Regions from separate parts of the Mus musculus genome. Here all the other regions are reported to be linked to region 1. The links are microRNA targets in miRTarBase. Many come from high-throughput screens and were not tested one by one. Region 1 holds a microRNA gene; each other region holds the end of a gene's coding sequence. Distances are between the middles of the regions.

The links. Region 1 holds the annotated microRNA mmu-miR-1933-5p (AGUCAUGGUGUUCGGUCUUAGUUU, at 2,813-2,836, opposite strand). A microRNA usually pairs through its seed, bases 2 to 8, with sites in the 3' UTR of a target mRNA and lowers its output. Matches are read on the target gene's strand: a 7mer-m8 pairs with bases 2 to 8, a 7mer-A1 pairs with bases 2 to 7 and ends in A, and an 8mer does both.
Region 2: the mRNA of Gprc5c is a reported target of mmu-miR-1933-5p. Seed matches in the 3' UTR shown: 8mer at 4,389-4,396.
Region 3: the mRNA of Rcc1l is a reported target of mmu-miR-1933-5p. Seed matches in the 3' UTR shown: 7mer-A1 at 5,362-5,368 and 7mer-A1 at 5,331-5,337.

Annotation. Positions count from the first base shown.
Region 1 is chr11:21,341,828-21,348,827 of GRCm38, forward strand. It overlaps Mir1933 (microRNA 1933), which reads right to left and starts at 2,848; the gene lies at 2,761-2,848. The region is part of intron 3 of Ugp2 (UDP-glucose pyrophosphorylase 2); the gene reads right to left.
Region 2 is chr11:114,869,580-114,876,688 of GRCm38, reverse strand. It overlaps Gprc5c (G protein-coupled receptor, family C, group 5, member C), which reads right to left. Exons shown (of 5, transcript NM_001110337.1): 5 at 4,072-6,368. The coding sequence ends at 6,336. Among named protein-coding and RNA genes, the nearest start is that of Cd300a, 17 kb to the left of the region's middle.
Region 3 is chr5:134,143,197-134,150,305 of GRCm38, forward strand. Rcc1l (reculator of chromosome condensation 1 like) reads right to left here. Exons shown (of 11, transcript NM_033572.2): 11 at 4,862-5,810. The coding sequence ends at 5,733. Among named protein-coding and RNA genes, the nearest start is that of Rcc1l, 30 kb to the right of the region's middle.

The DNA.
Region 1 (7,000 bases):
AGTAATTGTGCAGATTAGAGGTTACTATGCCCTATTTCAGAAAAGTTCATTCCCCACCAAACTAAAACCCTTTAAGACACCAGAAATTTCATTTCAGAACATAACAATAATCTTGTAGTATACCATTTTTTCAGTAATAATTAATGTGCAAATAAAACAAACAAATGTTCTATAATACACATAGTGGCTAAGAGTATAGGTTCAGGCTGATCAAGAAATAACTTCTGAATTACAAACTAAGGAGATAAAGGTGGCTATCGAACCATCACCAACTCTATGCCTACCATGTATGGGGATAACAGAGAAGAACAGTTGCTTGAGGATCACAAAGGAAGTGTAGGTAAAAAGCCAAGAGTGATGCTTGTCACAGCAATGTGTAGTTCTTGTGCCCACGTGTTGATAAGCTCAGAGTATACCCCATAGTGTTCGCAGAGACAGAGGGATCCTTTAATATCATTTGAGGATACTAAAGAACCAGGTCTTTCAAGTCTTGACAACCCATCAAGTTTACATCTGGATTCTTTTCCCTAGGTGAATTATTCTGAACTTCAGTTCTCTCTTTTGTAAAAAGCACAATAATGAGTATACGGATAGTGAGCCAGGATGAAAATAAATATTCAGAGGTCATGAGAAGCTGCCTGCCCTGGGATCTATTTTGTTTTTCCTGCTGATGGAATCAATAAAGGAACATCAAGTGATAGTCAAAACACACAGAGCTAATGCATATTTTCCTAAACATATTTTAAACAAGGATCTTAAAATCAAAAAATGAACTGTGCTTATTTTGGGCCAAACTGTTTTTAACCTTGATTTTTGCTAGTTAGCACCTCTCATTCTTAAAACAATAAACTTCACAAAACCTTAGTTTCATTCACAAAAGGAAATTCTTTAAGCAAAGTATATATGCCAATTCATTACTTGTACTTAAATTTTAAGCTTTAATTTTTAAACCCTGTTGAAAATTACATTTTTAGTAAATGTAACTTAATACAAGGTGTAGGTGTGGTGGTTTGGATGAGAATGTGCCCCCACAGGCTCACATACTTGAATGCCTAGTTATCAGAGAATGACACTGGTTGGGAAATATTAGGTATGGCCTTACTGGAGTAGATGTGGCCTTATTGGAGAAATGTGACATTGGGGTTGGGCTTTGAGGTTTCAAAAGCCCAAAGAATTCTAAGCTCCTTCTCCAGCACCATGTCTGCCTGGATGCTGCCATGCTTCCCACCAGGATGATAATGGACTGGAATCTCTGAAACTGTAAGGCAGCCCCAATTAAATGTTTGCTTATAAGAGTTGCCTTGATTGTGGTGTCTCTTCACAGCAATAGAACACTGACTAAGACAATGGGCCACCTCCCTTATGATTAACTGGACAGAGAGACCATAGAAAACTCCTAAACAATAAAAATTCTTGCCATTTCTTTGTGGTTGCCCTTCAGAACTAGATGGTACGGCTCTATTGCTGAAGACACCATCTATCTTGGTGGCATGAACTGGAACCGAGCTTCCACCATGCCAGCTTGCTTTCACTGTGCTGAATACGCTGGGCAAAGGCTGCTGAGGAAGAAAACACACCAACAACCTTACCCGTTGTTGGTGTAAACTATGATATTTACCTGCCAGGACAAAACATGTTTATTTGTTCAAGAGCAGCATGACTGTCATGGGTAACAACTACTCTCTGATTATATTCTCTGATTATAATGGGAATTCATACCTGGTACGATACAAGTACTCATAAACTCACAGCTGGGGAGGCCAGAGTGCTAAACTGTCATAACATGGAACCATCTCCCAAGTATATGGAAACAATTACCACTTGTGGTAGATAACATGTTGAGGTTTGGTCTTTTGTTATCTATTGTAATGGTAAGTGCGGCCCCCCAGGACCTGGGTGTCCCAGAGATAACTCAGTCAGCATACAGACCTTGCTCATAAGTTATTTCTGCTTGGTAAATAAAGATGCCAATAGCCAATAGCTGGGCAGAAGAGACATAGATGGGGTTTAGGTTTCCCAGGCGTGCGGTTGGAGGAGAAGGATGACGGGAGGGAGGAGAAGGAAGAGGAGAGGCACAGGAGGATAAAGGAGAAACCACCATGGGTTAGGAGTCAAGAGAACATGGCTCTGAAGGCTGGCCAACTGGAGTTAAGAACAGCCCAGATGAAACATAGCAAGTAGTAATAACTCAGAGTTACTGATAGTAAAGTAGATTCTAACAACATAGAGGGTAGATATCTGCCCAGCTCTTGTACTGTTTAAGGCTAACTGTAAATATAAAGGTTATGTATGATTTTTATCTGGGAACTAAATGATCTAAGGCAGGGTAGAAACCCTGGATCCGGATTAAATAGTTTCTACAACAATTACAAATGTATAGCTATATAGGATCCTGAGAATAAGTGACGGTTGAGTGCTTGGTCCTAAACAAGGCATTACGCCATTTCTTCCAAGGCTCAGGAACAATGCAGAAGAGGATATAGCATAAAGAATGTAAGTGTGGAAAATAGAGAGAAGGCCTTCCAAAAGCCCCCAAATGGGCAGTATCCAGCCAACTTAGGCATACCCTTCAAACAACTGGAAATGGTTTCGCTCAGCCTGCACAAAAATGAGCTCATTAACAGCCAGACGTGGATGAGTGAGGGGGTAGGTCTAATCTTCTCTGCTAAACTGTTTCCTACTGAAAGATTCTGGGAAACACAGTCATTACCTTCAGCAGTATACCTAACCAGTGACCGCACCACACTCACCGCAGTGGATAGTCCCAATCCAATAGTCACACTGATGGTCCTGGTTAAACTAAACTGGTCACAAACTAAGACCGAACACCATGACTGTGGGATCAGGACAGATATGCTGAGGTGCTGAGAGGAGTAGGGGTAACCAGAATGCATCTTACACATGTATGAAACTGCCAAGGAATGAGTGAAAGAAAGAAAAGGAAGGAAGGTAGGTAATTTAGAAGCCACAGGATTACACATATTACCATGGTAAAGATCCTTAAGTGCAATGCTTTCTCCAGAAGCCCATGCCTATATCTTGGTATTGTGTACTATCCGTTTCCCATGAGTCTGCCAAATAATTAACAAAATAATTAACTTTGTTTCACTCTGGGGCTTCTTGAAACTCTTTTCTGCAGCACAGGCAAGGATCTGGCTCTACCTTAGAGGAGGTCTCTAAGAGTCTCTTAGGCTGCTGGTAGCTGTGTTAGGCCGTCTCCCTGCTGCTGCTGAAATTTCCTAGGTTGGTTTTTACTAGTAAATGATCTATCAAACTTAATTAAATGAAAACTACTGAGAAGAGATATAGCTGAATTATCTACAAAGAGATGACTTGGCTATCTTGCATTAAGACTGTGGTTTGATTCTTACCATTTCAAATAAATAAAACAAAAATTAACTTTTGGCTTAGAAAATAAAAGATAAAACAAGCACCTTTGAAATGGTATTTCATGCTCTCCTGAAATTAGAGAATACATTACAATCCTCAAAGGGCTTTAGGACTATGTACATGAAGACAATTGTTTTAACTGAACCTTTCTGTAAATAATCTCTAGTCAATGGCCTGCTTCCACCTGTTTCCAATATTTAGTCAAGTCACAGGTACCCTTTGACATATCCATGTTTCCTGTTTTATAAACTTCGTTCTGAACTTTGGAATTCTCTCAGTCCTTTTGAGTAATCATCTTATGTTCACGGTGACTCAGAAAGAAGTTTTAAAATGGAATACAGACAATAAAAATTAGCTTAGATAGCTCTATTACCTTCCCAGCTAAAAACAAGATGGATTCTAAAAAAATTTTCTCTAACTCAAACTACTGTAAAATTGTTTATTTAAAAACCCATTGTAAACCACTTAATTCAATTTTTACATCTTAATCGACTTAGAGTATTTTGTTTCCTACTGTTGATATTTTTACCTGTCAAACTCTCACGTACTGCCATCTTATTAAAAATGGGAGCAATTTCAAATTACTGAAGAGATGTAAAACTGTAAAATCCCTGTGTACTTTAAACCTCATAAAGTACAGAAGATCTGATGATAAAAGAACTGGCAGAAAACCAGGGTGAGAAAATCAAAATTAAATAAAAAGCAAAAAATTAAATAAAAAGCAGCGCTTTACAGATGGCAAGCAAGGTCCTAGAACTTAGAAAGGTAAACATGAAGAAAAATCCACTCCTATACTTTACTGAACTCTCAAAATTTGAATAGAAATTCTAGGGGATTAAAAGACTTCCGAATATTTTTAAACTACAAAATGTAAAAGCAACATACATAGATGGTAAACAAGAAGCATTTAAACATAACAAAAAGGTACACTCCTCTTATAAGTTGTTGTAGATGTCAGACAGAGCTACGGTCATAGGATAAGTCAATCATGTGCAGCATGCGGTCCATATCCTTATCAGACAGGGTGGTGGCTTACACACAACATCCCATCTGAGTATGGATTAGGAAGGACAAAGTCAGGTGATTAAAGAACTTGCAAAAACAAACAAACAAACAAACAAACAAACCAGAATCCAAGGAAGGACCAAATAACAACTCTCTTAAGTCAAAATCTGCTAGCTTTAATAAAATCACCTTGCCTGCCCCACCTCACACTAACCCACTGGCCTAGCCATTGTTAGTTAGTTATATAATTCACATTGTGGAAGCAGGCCTGGGAAGATGGAGGTGGATAAAAAGGAAAGAGAAAGCGGCTGTAGAGAGAGTCCTGTGGAAGACTACAGTGCAGGTATATGTGTATCAACAGCTGTTCTCAATCTTCCTAAAGCTGAGACCAACTAACACAGTTCCTCCTGCTGTGGTGACCACCAACCATAAAATTATTTTGTTGCTACTTTATTCATGAATTTTGCTATCGTTAAAAATTGTAATATAAACATCTTGTGTTTTCCAATGAAGGAGCAAAGAAACTCTCTGGTTCTTTTTCTGACTCTAGACAAAGAACCAGCCACACTCACCATCTGTCCAACCAAAGACCACCATGAGAGTAACTTTAAGCAGTATTTTGGAGTCTTACTTTCACAGGTTTATTCTTTTTGATAAGCCATTTACTCTCAGAGAAGTCTTGTGTCAGGTTCACCCCAGGAGACCAGAAAGTCGGTCTTATCCCTGTGCCAGTTAGTCAGTTTTGGACTCAAGTCCTCCACAAACACAAAGCTAAAATGCTGATAAGTGATCTATATTTGTTTTGTAAAGATCTAGTTCTGTACAGTTTCTTTTTTTGTTTTTGTTTTTTGTTCTTTTTGCTTTTGTGTTTTGTTTTGTTTTATTTTGAGACAAGGTCTTACTATGCAATCCTGACTGGCCTGGAACTTACTACGTAGGACCAGCAAGTCTTGAACTTGCATAGATTTCCTGTCTCCACCTCTGGAATGCTGGGATTAGAGATGTGCAGAACCAGATCTGTAAGACAGCAGTTCTTAACCTTCATAGGCCATGGTCTCCTATGGGAGTATGGCAACACTGACTGTCTACTGTCTACTATGGAAAAAACAAATCACATACACATAATTCTAAATGTTATGGGGGCTTGAAATTCTTACAAAGATCTCTCAAGCTTCGGTACCTGGTGTGAACATTCTGCTGTTATCCTGGTTTTAAAATGGGATGTGTGGATATTCAGTTGCTCAAAACTGAAGAATCCCAACCCCCAAAAAGGATTAGTAAAAGATTCTCTCAAATAATTTCAGGGCAGAAAGTATAAGGAGTAGGTATGGGTGGATCACTTTGCTTCATATAAAAATTCTCCCCTTATAAGTAGAAATTCCTTCATGGTGGATTAGAGATCTAGAGGTAGGATAGCAGAACCACAGACCTATTTTTCCTTTTCAATTGTATGACATAAACTACTTACATGAGATACAATTGGTGGCTGGGCATGAGTCTTTGGAGATGAAACAGAAACTAGCTGGCCCAGAAGCTTCGAGCAGCTAGTCTAGGACAGATCTAGGTGGATGGAAAGTGAAGATCAAAGCTAATGCTGGTGGTTGTCCTGACCTGCACATGCACACCATGGTGTCCAGTGGTTGCTGTCTCTCCTCTCTTCAGTCTTCCCTCTCTCCCTCCCTCCCTTCCTCCCTCTTTCTCCATTTCTCCTTCCCTTCCTCTCCACCTCCAACGCATGCACACACGCATGCAAATCTAGGAACACAAAGGACCCTGCCCTCAAAGATAAGCACTAAGGAAACCAGGAATGTTAAACACCTGGATTGTCTTTCCAAAGAGAGAGATGTTTTAGCCTGTTTTTCCACCAAGAAGACTGGGATGGAGGAGGTTAATAACTTGGTGATTTATGCTGTCTGTAGAGCCAGGGCATACCAAGCTCCCATAAATTGGACCCAAAGGAGCCCAAATGACCACTACACTATCTGTATGACCAAAACCATTTCAGATCCTCCCCTAGGCCGTTAGGATAATATATGTAGCTTATCTCAAGTGCCATGTACTCTGAAAAGAGTTTTGATGTCATTTTGCCTCCTCGTGCATAGGGGGCTTTGTGACACCAGCAAGCTTTTTCTCCAAATTGTACTGTACTTATATATACTTACAATAAACTGCTAAAGGTTAGACTTTTGAAGTTTGAACCAACAAAGGCTGTGTTAAATTGGACTTCCTCTTTGCCTTACACAGTCTGATACCCTGTTGGTCTTGGCATTTGCAGAAACCCCCTATAACCAGGGCCCAACATGGGGCATGACCCTTAGAGAAGGTTAAGGAAAGTTAAAAAAAAAAAAAAAAAAAAAAGAAATAGAAGGTAAGATACCAGGCCTCTTACCACAGAGGTATGGAGCATAGGTAAAAGAGTGGAAAATTAATAACAAAAACAGAGGAAAGGAAAAAAATTCTGCCATAAGTATCTTGGCAGAGTAGGTGGAATGGACTCCATAGCCTCTCCAGCTTCCCAGCTGCCCAGGAGTCACTTACTGCTACAGCATGCTCAAAGATGATGTGATTGGAACTCAGAGGCCTCAGTGTCCGACGCATCGATGCA
Region 2 (7,109 bases), 94 Mb from region 1:
AAGAGGCAGCATACAGCCTTAGGTTGTCTGGCCCTTTTTTACAAATGAACCCTGCACCCTACTCTCAAAGATGAGCCCTTTGTAAAGGCTTCCTGTAACTTTGTTATTGAGGTTTTTTTTTTTAAGGTGTGTGTGTGAGTGTGTGTGTGTGTGTGTGTGTGTGTGTGTGTGTGTGTGTGTGTGTGCATGCGTGTGTATACCAGAACCTTCAAAGACTAGGTGATCCGGCATCAGATCACATGGAGCCGGAGTTACAGGTGGTCTCGAGACCTGCTGTGGGACCTGAGAACCAGACACCTCCAAGAGCAATCTTAACTGTTGAGTCAGCCTTCCTCAGCCCGCCTCCTCTTCTCTGAGACAGTGGCCCATCCCACCGTGTCCTCTGCAGGAGCTGCAAGTGAGCTATTCATTTCCCCAGCCCCAAGCACCCAAGCTGCCCTTCCCCCTGACCTGAGCTCAGTTCCCCGCACCCACAGTAGGTGGTTTACAACCACCTGTAACTCCAGTTCCAGGGAGTCCAAAATAATAAAACCTCTTTTTAAAACTGGTGATTTAGAGCTGGGGTGGGGGGTTGTGCCCTTGCCTCACAGGTTCAAGACCTTGCCTTCTACACCCCCTCCAAGCCCACCCCACCCCCGGCACTGCAGTAAATTAGGAAATCAAATTCATGGTTTATTTTCCACAGTGAAAATAGAGAAAGAAAGGGGTGGAAAGAAAGACCGGGTAGAAAAAACAGCAAGGCAGTAAAAGTCTCTGCCTCCTCTGCCTGGCAACACACACACACACACACACACACACACACACGAACCTGAACTTTATTTCCCCAACTTTCTTATCAGAGTCCCTCTATGCAAATAAGGGCATCTGGATATGGGGGGTGTTGGTATAAGCGGGCTACTAAAACCATCTGCTTTGAGTCTGTGATTGGTTTCTCCTGAAAAGTTCTTTGCATGTGGGGTAGAGTTCCGGACCTATAGCATCCTGCCCCCGTGTCCCCATCCCTGCTCGCCGAGCATTCCCTCTAGGCATCTGGTGCAGGGGCTGGTTAGGGAATCTGCCCGGGCTACGGGGGTGTGTGTGTGTGTGTGTGTGTGTGTGTGTGTGTGTGTGTGTGTTGGGTCCATTTATCCCTCTGAGAGTCACAAGACAGAGGGCTGTGCTCAGTCAAGTGTAGCCTGCCCCCTGCTGTGACCTGCAGCTGGGCACCTGCTACCCAGACTCTCCCTTGACCTTGGGCCCTGACTGTGGGTCTCTGGTGGCCCAGATCCCCTGCTGTTTGTGTACAGCAAACAGACTGGTCTGGCTGGCATTCTCGTCCCAAGACAGCTCAGCTCACCAGGCAGTAAGTAGTGAGCTGGCCGTCACTTGTTGCCTGTGCTCCTCCCCAGAGAAGCAGCCCAGAAAGCAAACAAAATCTGGGACTATGTGGATTCCCAGGGTCCGGGTAAGGTTGGCTGAGGCCCCTGTAATTCCCTAGGGAACCAACCCATGGGTTGGATAATGAATTCTAACCAACATTTGTCACATCCCCAGGCATTTTTGATTGTCACAACCTGGGACCTGGAGATCCTGGTATCTAGCCGATAGAGGGTCCCACTTAGCATCTACCACACACTGTTCCCAACAAAAGAATATCTTCTTTCCCTAATGTCAGTAGTGACTGTCCCCTGAAGCCCGACCAAGACAGTGGAGGGGCTCCCTCCCCAGGCTGGCTGGTCCAGGCATCTGCCCTCTTTGCAGATAGGGTCTTGCTTCTTGAGCTAGACTGGGTCAGACATGATCCTGGTCTGGTGGAGTGGATAGGGTGAGACTTCTGCACCAGATCCCTATAGGTGAGGCTAGCAGAGCAGGGTTGGGGCACCGTGGGCTGCCCCCAATAACCCCAACACTCCTACCCATCCCCCTACCCATCCTCACCCAGACCTGGGTAGGCTCAGAGACAGCTAGGGGCAGTTGGTGATGGCTGGCTGGCACTCAGGGGGATCCAACTGCAGGGTGTCCGGGTGGGGCTTAGGTGAGAATAGAAATCAGGCCCTACAAGGAGAGTGACAGCCGAGCTCCAGATATTCAGGGCCCCCTCCCCTCAACCCAAAACATACACTCCAGGAGCCTAGGAGAGAGTGGGGTGTTTGTGGTGGGAAAGGGAGGCACAAGATCTCCTGCGCCCAGAACCCTGGAGTCCTGGCAGGGTTGGGACCTCTGGATTGGGACTCTGTGAAACCTTCCCAGGTCCCCACCCCTTGCACCCTCAAAGTGCCCTGGGAGGGTGATGTGAACTTCTGTCTCTTTATGGACACTTCAGGGAGCGTCTCCTCCTCCCCCTGGCTTGGGGGAACCTGCAGGCAGACAGCTGGCTAGGATGAGCCTCCTAACCCCCTCAGCTCCTCTGTGGAAGGCAAAACCCTGAAGCGACCTTTCATCTGGCTAGTTCTACTGCAGACCTCGGGCAGAGACTGCTGTATCTTCCCAACTCCAACCCAGATGGAGCAGGACAGTCAGGCCACACCATGAGGATGCTCTGTGGCCCAGAGTTACTACCATTCTGAAATGGTCATTTGAAGCCTCCACAACTTCTTCAGAGCTCCAGTCTCTCCTTGTAAAGAGGAGGAACAACAGTCACTCCTCTTGATACACCTATGGGTACTTGGGGGACAGTTGTCTGGTCCCAGCCCTCCAGCCTGGCTATTTGGATTTCCTGTGCAAGTAGGCCACCCACCAATATGTTTCCCCCTACACATCAGAGAACTGCCAAGATATGCCAACATATACCTCCAAGCCCCAACCCAGCTATTGCACCCACCTTGGGAATCCAGTGCCTGGGACAAACAGAGTTAAGTCCAAGGTCAGACAGCAAATGATCCAGTCTAGAGGCCCAATAGTCTAGGGAGGACACACTTGAGTGCTATGCTTGAATGTGACTTTTGTGTGAGTGCTCTTCAGTATATCCAAAGGTTGTCACTCCTATTTTACAGATGAGCAGAGACTAGGGAAAGGTGAAAAGGACTGTGGAAGGCCACAGCTAGTAATCAACCTTTGATCTCTACACATGCTATAGAACTCTCCTCTCACTTCCTGTCACTTCCTGCTACAAGGCTAATTGAGTCTCTTTGAGAGTGCTGGTCTCAAAGAGTCACCCCCACCCCATTATTAACACCCCAATGGGACCCACCACCCCCACTCGTGGCTATTAACAGATACCTTTCCTCAACTAGGATGAGGTCAGAGCCCCAGAGGGCCCAAGGAGGATGAGGTCAGAGCTCTCTGGCTGGTGCAGATGCTAAATAATTCATGCTGCTGCTGTAAACGGGGCTGTAGCTTCCTGGAGGACCCAGCCCTGAGACAGCAGGCAGGAAGTCTGCTTAGCAGCCCCCTGAGCACAACCTTGGCGTGCCCTCTGCAGAGCAGGAGGGGGTGCTGGTCTTGGTGAGAATGTTGGTTGGTGCCTGTGCGGTGACAGCTGGGTAAGCCAGCCAACCTTTCTGTGTCTTGCTTTCTTCTGCAAGAAGCCGAAGTGCTGCTGCTGAACAAGTACAATGGGCCACAAGAGCAAGCTGGGTGTGGCCATGACAGGGCCCCCAGGCTTGGGGCAGCTGTTTGTGATCATCTCTGGCCCAGCATGCCTGTGAACAAAGCATTTTAACAAAGAAGAAACGGTCTGTGCCCTGCCTCCCAACCATGCCAGGCATAGCTGGGTAGTTATCTGAGGGTGTCCCCTTTCCCACCGTACCCCTCCTACATCTCACGTGGGAACCGTTTTGTCTCTCCGCCTGGCTGGTTAAGAATTCAATGTTTGTTTGTTTGTTTCTTCTATGTAGTCCTGGCTGTCCTGGAACTCACAAAAGATCTGCCTGCCTCTGTCTTCCAAAGTGCTTAAAGGCTTGCAACACTGTATCCAGCTGAGAATTCAAATATCTTTCAGCGGCCTGGTTTTCTCCTTTAAAGTCTCTAACCGGAGAGAAGTTAGTTAGTTGTAATCCAACAGCTACTGTAGCTGAGATGGGGGAATGGGGAGAGAGAGGCAGGCAAGGCAGCTGACACTGACATTCCACAATCACTTAGAAACACACAGGAACAGAGGCAGTAACCCCTCACAAAGAAAGGGCAGTCGTTTAATTCTGAGCAGTTACAAGGTTGAGCCTCCCTTTACATCCACTATAGGATTTAATAGGGTCCGTGTGACATTTATTAAGGGATAGTGGCCTGCAAATGATGAGCTTGGATCAAGCCTGGACCTACTTGATGTCTCCCACTCAAGGCTTGTGTATGATACAGAGCTGTTCATTTGGAGGCCCCCAACCCTCCTAAAAAAAAAAAAAAAAAAAAAGTACTTTTTTTTGTTGTTGTTTGTTTTGTTTTTTTGAGACAGGGTTTCTCTGTATAGCCCTGGCTGTCATGGAAATCACTTTGTAGACCAGGCTGGCCTCGAACTCAGAAATCTGCCTGCTTCTGCCTCCCAAGTGAAAAATGTACTTCTCCACTGGAACTGGAACTAAAAGTCGCAGGGTTGCCATGAAGGGTAACCATGACACTCCCAAATAGCCTACATCCTCCAGGAGCCTCCAATCACTCCTCAGCTTCAGGTGCAGGCAGGCCTTGGGCTATAAACACAGCCACACCCACCACAGGCTACACACCTAGGGATGTGGGGCTTTCTGCATCCTAAAGGACTCATTTAAGACAGCAAACTAGTCCCTCGCTTACTGCGGCAGATCTTGGGGCTCTAGATCAAGAACAGTGTGAGGTGCATGGAGACCGGTTCCCTTGTGGAAGGACCAAGCATCCTCAGTCAGCAGAGGGCAAGAGGAGTATCATTTGGAGGTATGGTCCTACTCTGTGGGAACCTTTCATCCAATGATAAAAGGCACAGGTTGCTGGGGATGGCATGAGAACTAGGCATGGAGTGCCTGGCTATCCTGGGAATCCACTCATCTTTACCTCTACCTTGGCACTAAGCAGGACTGGGCTGAGGGCCAAGTTAGCACACTTGGGGGAAAGGGTATAGAAGAGGCTCTGTCTGGTACCCAAAAGTAGAACAAAGAATGATGTTCTGGAGATCTCGAGTCCAGGGTCTGGTACCATGACACCATCTCAGCCACTGGTGTCAGCAGCTTGCAGGCCTGAAAATGGCCCTCTCTGACCTGGGTGGCCATCGGGTGCCTCCGGTGCATGTCCTAAGGCCAAGGACTCTCCTCTAATGTTGAAAGCAGCAGATCATGTCCATGTGTCCCAAGGACGGCTGCTGCCCAAACTGAGGTAGAAACTTAAGACGTCTTTCCATAAGCGATCTACAGTCCTGGACCGCACATCCCACCAGTCGGACACAGGAAAGGTTCAACTCACCCTGAGAATGCAGCCCTGAATTCCACCCACATGTCCTAAGGGAACTCCCAGACCCCACGTATGTCCTGGTAGCCCAAGCAGGTGCTTCCAGAACCTGTGAGATCCAGGTAATTCAGCAATATCCACATCTGCACCTGTCCCAGGAGCTACCCCAGGAAGCTAGCACAGAAGGCAAAAGGAGACTGGGGGAGATTCAAACAGGGGATTAACTGAGATACAAACGGTGCAAAACCCTAGCACCACTGTGGCCCACGGGCTCTTCAACTCTGATGTGGGTTCTCTGTGTGGCAGGGCTGGACAAGAAGAGCTTCCTCAGATGGGACCAGTGTAACTGCCATCTTCAATGGTGATGGGCAGTGGGGAGGACAGAACAGGCCGACTGGTCCTGCCCTGGTGAGGGGACACGACCCACTGAAGGTATAGTAGACTCCATCCAGATTCAAAGGTGCTGGGACCTGAGACCCTCAGGTCATGAGAAACAGCCTGCCCAAACTAGCCAGTGACCTCCTAGAAGGTGCAGCAGGCCCTAAGTAGGGTAAGGGACAACTTCTGTTGTGTGGCTTGTCTCCAAAGACTCACAAAGATTCACCTGATGTCCATTGTGAGACATGCTGACGGGACACCAACATGGCCAAGAAGGTCCGTCACACACTGGACATTCACAGCGAGACAGCAACCTGGAGAACCACATGGGAACACAGACACTGTGACCTGAGGGATGTGTTAAGGCAGGAGATGGGAGTCAACAGTTCACTCCCTGTAGCTGCAGTTTCTTGGATACCAGGAGGTTGGGATGGGCAAGGGACAGGTGGCCCTATGAGCACCAGTCACATATTTCAGGCCTATCCCAAGGTCCCGACTCAGTCCACTGTTTCAAATTGGTGGCCTCTGGTCCCTCCCAGTTCCAAGGACAGGTGGGAAAGCTGCTGGCCCTGCTCAGATGGATGCAGAGCATTGAGGGATCCAGATGAGGTGTGGTCCAGGGAAGAGGGCATCTACCATCTTGTTTTATTAGTCGGGGACTGATCCTAAAGTAACCAGAAAGAACAAATGTCAAAATGGAGGATTCTACTGCTCACAGCCCAAGTACTGAATTGGACTAAGAGAAAAATTTAAAGTCTCAGTCAGTCCTCAGGGAGCAATGCCATCTAAATATAGACGTTTGGAGAAGTCTGGAGTCTTCTTCCAATAATCCTTTTCTCTCAACAACAACAAAACAACCCTATTTTTTCCCCTTACAACTGGTGTCAGAAAATAGCTTCTGGCTAGTCCATGACAAACATGGATGGGCAGGCTCTCAAGTCCCCTTGAAGAATCCGGACTTGGCATCCAAAGTTCAGAATATTGTCCCATCCATGAGGAACAGAAGCAGCTCAGAGCCCAGGCCACTGGTCTGGCTTCTCCCAGGGAGGGCCAAGGACAAAAGCTGGGGATATCAGTCTTGGTCCAGCCACCTAGAGGCTCTATGGCAAGACTGTGTCACTTTGCTTACTGTAAAAGAGGTTGGGGGGCAGCTAGAGAGATGGCTCAGCAGTTAAGAGCACTGACTGTTTTTAAGGTCCCATATAACCCTGAAGTGACAGCATTCTGAGACTTTGGCTCTGGAAATGAAGAAGACTGGTCTTGTCCTATTGGTTGACCTCTCCCACACCCCTGCCCCCCATACCCACCATCCATGGAAATGATCCTAGGCTGTTGGGGGAAGACTTTTCCTGATCCCCAAATTTTAAGCACATGGCTGGCCTGCCTGCCTGCCTGACTGTCTTGTT
Region 3 (7,109 bases), not on the chromosome of region 1:
ACTGGGGAAGGCAGGTGCTGGCCTGTTGCTAAAGACACCAAGAGAGGCTTGAGGCCTGAGGCCATGGCTCTTGCGGGCATCGGTTTGGTGGTGGTGATTTGTGGCTCTTGGTAGAAGAGACGGGAACCTGGGAGAGTCAGTAGTGCAGGGTGGTCCAGTCCCATGTTTCAGGATGCTGTTTATTTACGTGTGTGTGTGTGTGTGCGTGTGTGTGTGTACATGTATTAGGCATGAGTGTGTGTGCCCACGTATGCAGAGCCCGTCTCAGAGCTGTGAGCTGTTTCATGCAGTGTTTGGCCCCTTAGCCTAACCCATTGCCTCACAGTTAAACAGATAGGAATGCTGGCCCTGGCTCCAGGGTGGAATGTGGGGTTGCTGTGATGGGATTGGCTCCTTTCTCCATCCGCTACATCCCCAAGAAAGACTCTGCCCCTCAGCAGCCCAGGGAATCCATGCAGGCAGCCTGAACTGGCGTAGGCCCACCTGTGGGACTCTTCAAACAATTGAGTTCTCAAGACAGTATTTGCACGGAGAGAGGTTGGGGACAAGAGGTGCCCCTTGCTTCCCAGGAACTCACCTTGGGAAAGGGTCCACAAAGCTCTAGACTGGGCAAAATTCAGGTTTCCATGGGCTGAGCCTAGCACGTTTTTTCTTTCTCCTGCCTCAGTTTACCCGTATCACAGGAAGAGTTAGAGCAGGGTCAGCCTCCAAACAATAGGGGAGACGGAAGTACAGCAGTAGTCCTCCCGGCCCTCCTCCTGTATGCCAAAATCATTTCCGTTATCCCGAGGCAGGGGAGTGGGTATGGGTGCCCGGCAGCGTTTTTAAGGGACCCTGCCCTGCCCACAGCCCCAGCTGACCCTCTCCTGGCATGTCGTGCCCAGGTCACCAGCAACAGTGGTACTTCATCAGTCCTGCAGCTTGGGTGAAGGGGGTGGGGGACGGGTGTCCTCCTCTGTCCACCTCCAGGGCCCCTCATGCTTTTGTTTTCTCCTTGTCAAAGAAACAAAACCCTTAAGAGTTGTGTACTGTATGATGAAGAGAAAAAAAAAAAAAAAAGTACCTAACGTTCCCCCTGAAAAAGACAGTATATTTTGTACTTTGTAAAGTGTTCATTAAATGAAGGGGAAAAAATGATGTTGCCTGATAGCTGTCTGATTCTATGTTGACTTGTCCAGGATCACGCCTCCGTTGTTTGGGAGAACGTAGGTCATGGCTTAGAGGAGGCAGGATAGCCCTCAGGTAAAACACCTTGAGTCTCAGAGACTGCCTAGGCTGAGAAGGGTTATATCAGCTCCCTGATGCTGTGGAGTAAATGGTCCCAAATAGTGGCTTAAAGTGACACATATCTGTATCCCAGCATGCAGGAGGATAGAGGGCTCCAGGCTAGCCTGAGCTACATAATGAAACCGGGCGAAGTGACTCAGTGGTCAAGAGCACTGACTCTTAACCGGGAGCTCCAAAGGTTCGATTCCTAGCACCTACGTGGTGGCTTACAGTCCCAGGGAGTCTGAAGACCTCTTCTGGCCTCGGGGGATACCAGGTACCCATGTGGTACACGGACATACTTGTGGCAAAACACCATATCCTTCGAATCAAAGCTACAGGGAAGAAGGATTTGTCCCAGCTTAGAGTTTCCCCGTCATGATCATGGGCATGAGGCTAAAAAGGTTAGTTACAAGAACAATTTGTTGAGTAGGGGTTGTTTGTGGCGTCTAGGAAGCAGAGGTGAGAACATGGGAAAAGACCAGGGCAAAATATCGCATCACTGGTGACCTGCCACGTCTCACCATTCACCAATGCCATCAAATGGTGGATCCATCAAGCCGTCAATCTGATGATTAGGACAGAGCTCTTATGACCTAAATGTTTCTGAACACAAGGTTGTAGACACAGCGAGGAATGTGTTTGCAAATCTAAACGTCTCAATCAAGTCAGCCCCCAGTACCCACATGGTGGCCTTCAGCCATCTTTAACTCCAGTTCCAGGAGATATGATGCCCTCTTCTGGCGTCTGCGGGTAACACACACATGTGATGTATATACTTAACACGCCCACAAAATACTCGTAAAAACTTTCAAAAATAAATTTCAAAAAAATGTGGCCAGGCGGTGGTAGCATACACCTTTAATCCCAGCACTTGGGAGGCAGAGACAGGTGGATTTCTGAGTTCAAGGCCAGCCTGGTCTACAAAGTGAGTTCCAGGACAGCCAGGACTATACAGAGAAACCCTGTCTCAAAAAAAAAAAAAAAAAAAAATGTAAGAGGGGGCTGGAGAGAAGGTTTCCAGAGCCCTCGCTGTTCTTGCTCTTGTTGAGACAGGTTTGAGGTTTGCTTCCTAGTACTCCATGATGGCTCACAGCATGCTATAACTCTGGCGCCAGAGGATCTTACACTTCTGGCCTCAGTGGCCATCACACACAGATGGTGCAGAGACATATGTGCATGCAGAACACGTACACGCATAAAAATAACCTGTTAAGAGAGAGAACGAAAAGAGGACACCTGGGAGGAGGCAGGTGGCAAGCTTCATCCGGGGAATGAGTCACGTGCTTATGAGAGCAAAGCTTTCCCTGGAACAGAATGAGCAGCCAAGATAATGGCTGCTGAGATAATGGCTTAGCAGCGTCTCCAGTGTCAAATGCTGGGGGTTGGGGGGTTAAGGGCCAAAGAGACAAAGACACCCACGTATAGATGGCAGCTGAACAGAAACCCTGGTGAGGTACAGATGAGCTACATGGCCAGGCTGACCAACAGGTAAAACAGACTTAAAGGAAAGCTCAAGGGAGGGAGGGAGGGTGCTGGAGAGATGGCTTAGTGGTTAAAAGCACCGACTGCTTTTCCAGAGGTCCTGAGTTCAATTCCCAGCAACCACATGATGGCTCACAACCATCTGTAATGGGATCCGGTGCCCTCTTCTGGTGTGTCTGAAGACAGCTACAGTGTACTCAAATATATAAAATAAACTTTAAAAACAAGGAAACCCCAAGCATAAGGACATCCCTGTGTACAAACAGGTGACTAGAGTCAAGGGGCTTTGCTTTGCTCTTTAGTTCATTGAGAAAGGGTCTCATGTACCCCTGGCTGGCCTAAAACTCAAGGTCTAGCCACGGGTGACCTTGAGCTTCTGACCCCCCCCCCACCCAGTCTCCATGTCTACCACTTCCTGAGTCACCCAAATGCACCCATGCTGTTTATGGGGTGCTGGGGTGCAAATCAGACCCCAGGGCTTGGTGGATTCTAATCAAGGACTTTACCAGAGCTACATACCTGGCCCCTTTGTTTTCCTAAGGACTTTTAAAATTAAGAACATTTTTAGTTGGGTGTTTGTGGTGACAGATGTATGGCGATGAAGCCAACAGAGGGGTCCGATCCCCTGGAGCTAGAGTTACACACATCTGTGAAGTCCCTGAGGTGGGAAGTGAACTCAGGTCCTCTGGAAGAGCAGTAACTTCTTAACCACTAAGTCATCCATCTCTCCAGCTCCTTAAGTCTTCTTCTATTTCAAGTTCACAGAAAATGTTCCTATTGTCAGCCTAAGACTAGCCCTTACAGAGGGGCATCTGCCTGGGTGAGGGGCCTGTAGCTGCTCAAACGGCCATTCCTTCCAACACCAGCCAACTGGTTCCCATGACAGCCTGCTTGTTGACCCCTCGACTTTAACCCGCAACCTTTCAACACATCCCATGTCCTTTCTCCATTTTAGGGTTTGAATCTGAAATGCCCCTCCCCCAGGCTCATGTATTGAATGTATGGTCCACATCAGGTAGCACTGTGGTGGAAACTGGAATTTTTTAAAGAAGTGGGGCCTGAACAACAGAAGTAGATGGGCGGAGTTAGTCCTTTAAAGGTGGTAGTACAGCCCCTGCTAATACACTCCAGTGTGCTCACATCCCATAATACACTCCTGTGTGCTCACATCCCATAATACACTCCTGTATGCTTCCTGATGTGCCCGGCTGGGAAGGCCCTACAATAAACTCCCACCATCTCGAACGCTACCATGGCAGGACTGGAACCCTCGGACACTGAGAGCCAAGGTGAATCCTTCTGCCTTTAAGTTGTTCCTGTCAGGTACTTGGGGCAAGACTTCGCTTTCCTCCACAGCCCACACAAGCAGCCGTCCTCTGCATTTTGTTTCTTGTCCGTGTCCCTGCCCGAGGATAAGCTGCACAAAACGAGATTCCTCTGCCCGCATGACTCACTGTGCCCCACGCCTGCACTTAAGGAGCCCACAAGTACCTTAGAGTGAACAAGTAACAGGAGCAGGGTGTAGCAGGCAGCCTAGGAGACCATAATTAGAGACTCAGGTACCGGCTATTTTCCCAGCCAAAGGATCTGTTCAGAAAACAATTCCCAGGGGCTAGCAAGATGACTCAGTAAAGTGCTTGCCTGACAGACAAGCCGATGGCCTCAGTCCAATCCCCAGAGCCCATGTAAAAATAGGAAGCAGGGCCCTGTAACCCTGGCACAGGGGAAATGGAAACAGAGGGTCCCTGGGACTCTGGATGGCCAGCCTATCCCTGGGAAGTTCCAGGTTGGGAGAGATACTGGCCCAATCATAAGGTGGACCTGGGTGTAACAAGCACACAGGTTTAGTTCCAGAATTCTGGAGACTGAGGAAGGCAGACCTCTGTGAGTTCAAGGCCAGCGTGATTTACAAAGTGACAGCCCATCTCAATAATAAGATGGATAGCACCTGAGAAACAGTGACACTTTACCTGTCGTCTGTCCTCCACAGGAGTGTGGCGCGCACACACACACACACACACGCACACACACACATCCTGAGTGGGACTGCCTTCTAAAGTGTGTTCCATTGGCTACTTTTATGGTCAAGAAATGATCAAGTCAAACTTTTACAAGACCTCCATTCTGTAAAAAGGCAGAAAATAGGCTTTATTCCAAAAGACCTTTTCCAACCCTGTTCTGAAAGGAAAGGGCAAGCTTCCCTAAAAACAAGTATTTCCCAGTTTCTGAGGCCTCCTACTCCAAGGCCAGCCCTTCAGCCAAGATTCCACGGCCCTCAGCCCACAAGCACTTGGCCCGCAGAGTCTTTCTTCAGGGGCTTCTGGGCTGTTCAAAGCCAGGCAGTGAGGAAGTTCCAAGGCTGGGATACTGTAGGCCTGAGCGGGAGGCTGGCTCCCACTGGCAGCTCCATCAAGAGTCTCAAGCCAAGGCATCCTGGGCTCCTGGACTGTCCTTCTGCGGGACTCCTGGGATGACAGCTGACCAGAGGCCCTAGCTGCAGGCAGTCAGCTGGCTTCTTGCTGAGCTGAGGCCAACTTTATCCTCCTGTGACAGGGGACTACAAGTTCTTCTGAGTGCCTTGTCATGTCTCTAAACTCTTAATATCAAATGTGTCATGAGCAGTGAACTTTCTCTAAGAATAGTGTCTCAGACAAGACACATCCCCAGATGCTACCATGTGTTACCTGGAAAAGGAATCTGCCTGGCCACCCAAGGTCTTCACGCCCTGGTGCTCCTCAGAAACACGGCAAGCCAACTGTAGCCATCCTGAGCTGAGGCCAGCAGCAGGAACCTCAGCGGGGGAAGGGCTTTGTCCACACACCTCTAGTAGAATGTCCCCACTGAGGACACACAGCAAGCATCCTGCACCCCAGAGGCCCTGGCCCTCTCCCAGTACCCTCAGAAGCTCTGCTGGTGGCCACCCCCTGCCTCTGCCAAGCTGCTGCTGTGGTGTGGCTCCCAGGCTGGGCCCAGAGGGCCTTTCAGATGAATGACTTGGCTAGAGTCACCATGTGATCCACTCCACACGCCACATCCACAGGCTCACCGGGCATCGTCACCTGGAAGAGAAGCCACGGACACGGTGAGGGAAGGCCAGCCAGGCTCTGGAGCCCTGCAGGAGGGAATGGGGGTCACACGATTCACAGAACCCAGGCTAGCCTCCAATTCCCTGTGTAGCTGAAGCTGATCATGAACTTCTGATCCTCCTGCCTCTACCTCCCAAATGCTGGGTTTACACACATGTAGTACCACACCTGGTTTACGTGGTATTGGAGACAGACTCTCAGGCTTTGTATGTGTTAGGCAAGCAAACTACCCATTGAGCCTCACCCTCAGCCCCTCCTCTTAGAAGGTTCTTTGCCTTCTGTGAGTGTGGCTGTATCCCCTGGAAATGGGCTGCCCACACTAGTCCACAGCTCACTAGTATCTCTACCTCTCTGCTACCCTACCTCTCTGCCCATCAGTTGCATCAGCTCTAGCAGCCACCCTAAAAAGGGTGTCCCTAGGGAAGGACATGGATGCTCCTGGTCCCACTGCCTGTGACCATGCTTCCAGATCCCCTGCCTGGAGGCTGAGTGTTTGGTAACCTTCACTGGGGTCACCAAGTACTTCCCAAGAGTACAGGAAAGGCCTCGGCCTGGTGGATCCAGTGTGGGAGCAGGCCACAGAGCTACACTGGCCTTCAGAGGCTGGTCCCATCTAGCCTCATTATTCTGTTCTTTAAATTTGTGTGTGCGTGTGTGTGTGTGTGTGTGTGTGATATGTCTGGAGACAGAGGGGGACAGTAGGTTTCTGCTCCATCACTCTCCAAGTTATTCCCTTGAGACAGAGCCTCTTGTTGAACCTGAAGCTAGGCTGGCAGCCAACAAGTCCCAATGATTTTTCTGTCCCCACAACTGAACCTAACCCCATTATGCTGGTATTGCGAGCACATATGTGGCTATACCTACCTTTCTACATAGGTGCTGAGGGTTAGAACTCGGATCATCATGTTTGCACAACAAGTATATGTGTGTGTGTGCGTGTGTGTGTGTGTGTGTGTGTGTGTGTGTGTGCATGTGCACACTTGAGGTCAGCAGACAACCTTCAGGAGCTGGTTCCTCCCTACCTTGTGGATATTGTACATTAAACTCAGGTAGGAGTCATGCTTGCTGTCAGGTGCCTCTATCCAGTAGGCCTCACAGACTCTTAAGTGTTTGGTTTTTTTCCTTTTTTGGTTGTGTATGTGGTATGTATGGAGAAATGTACTGTGTACGATATGTGTGTGGTAGGTGTGTGTGGAATATAGTGTCTTTGGAATGTACTCTATATGGTGTGTATGCTGGCTAGTTTTAGGTCAACTTGACACAAGCTAGCGT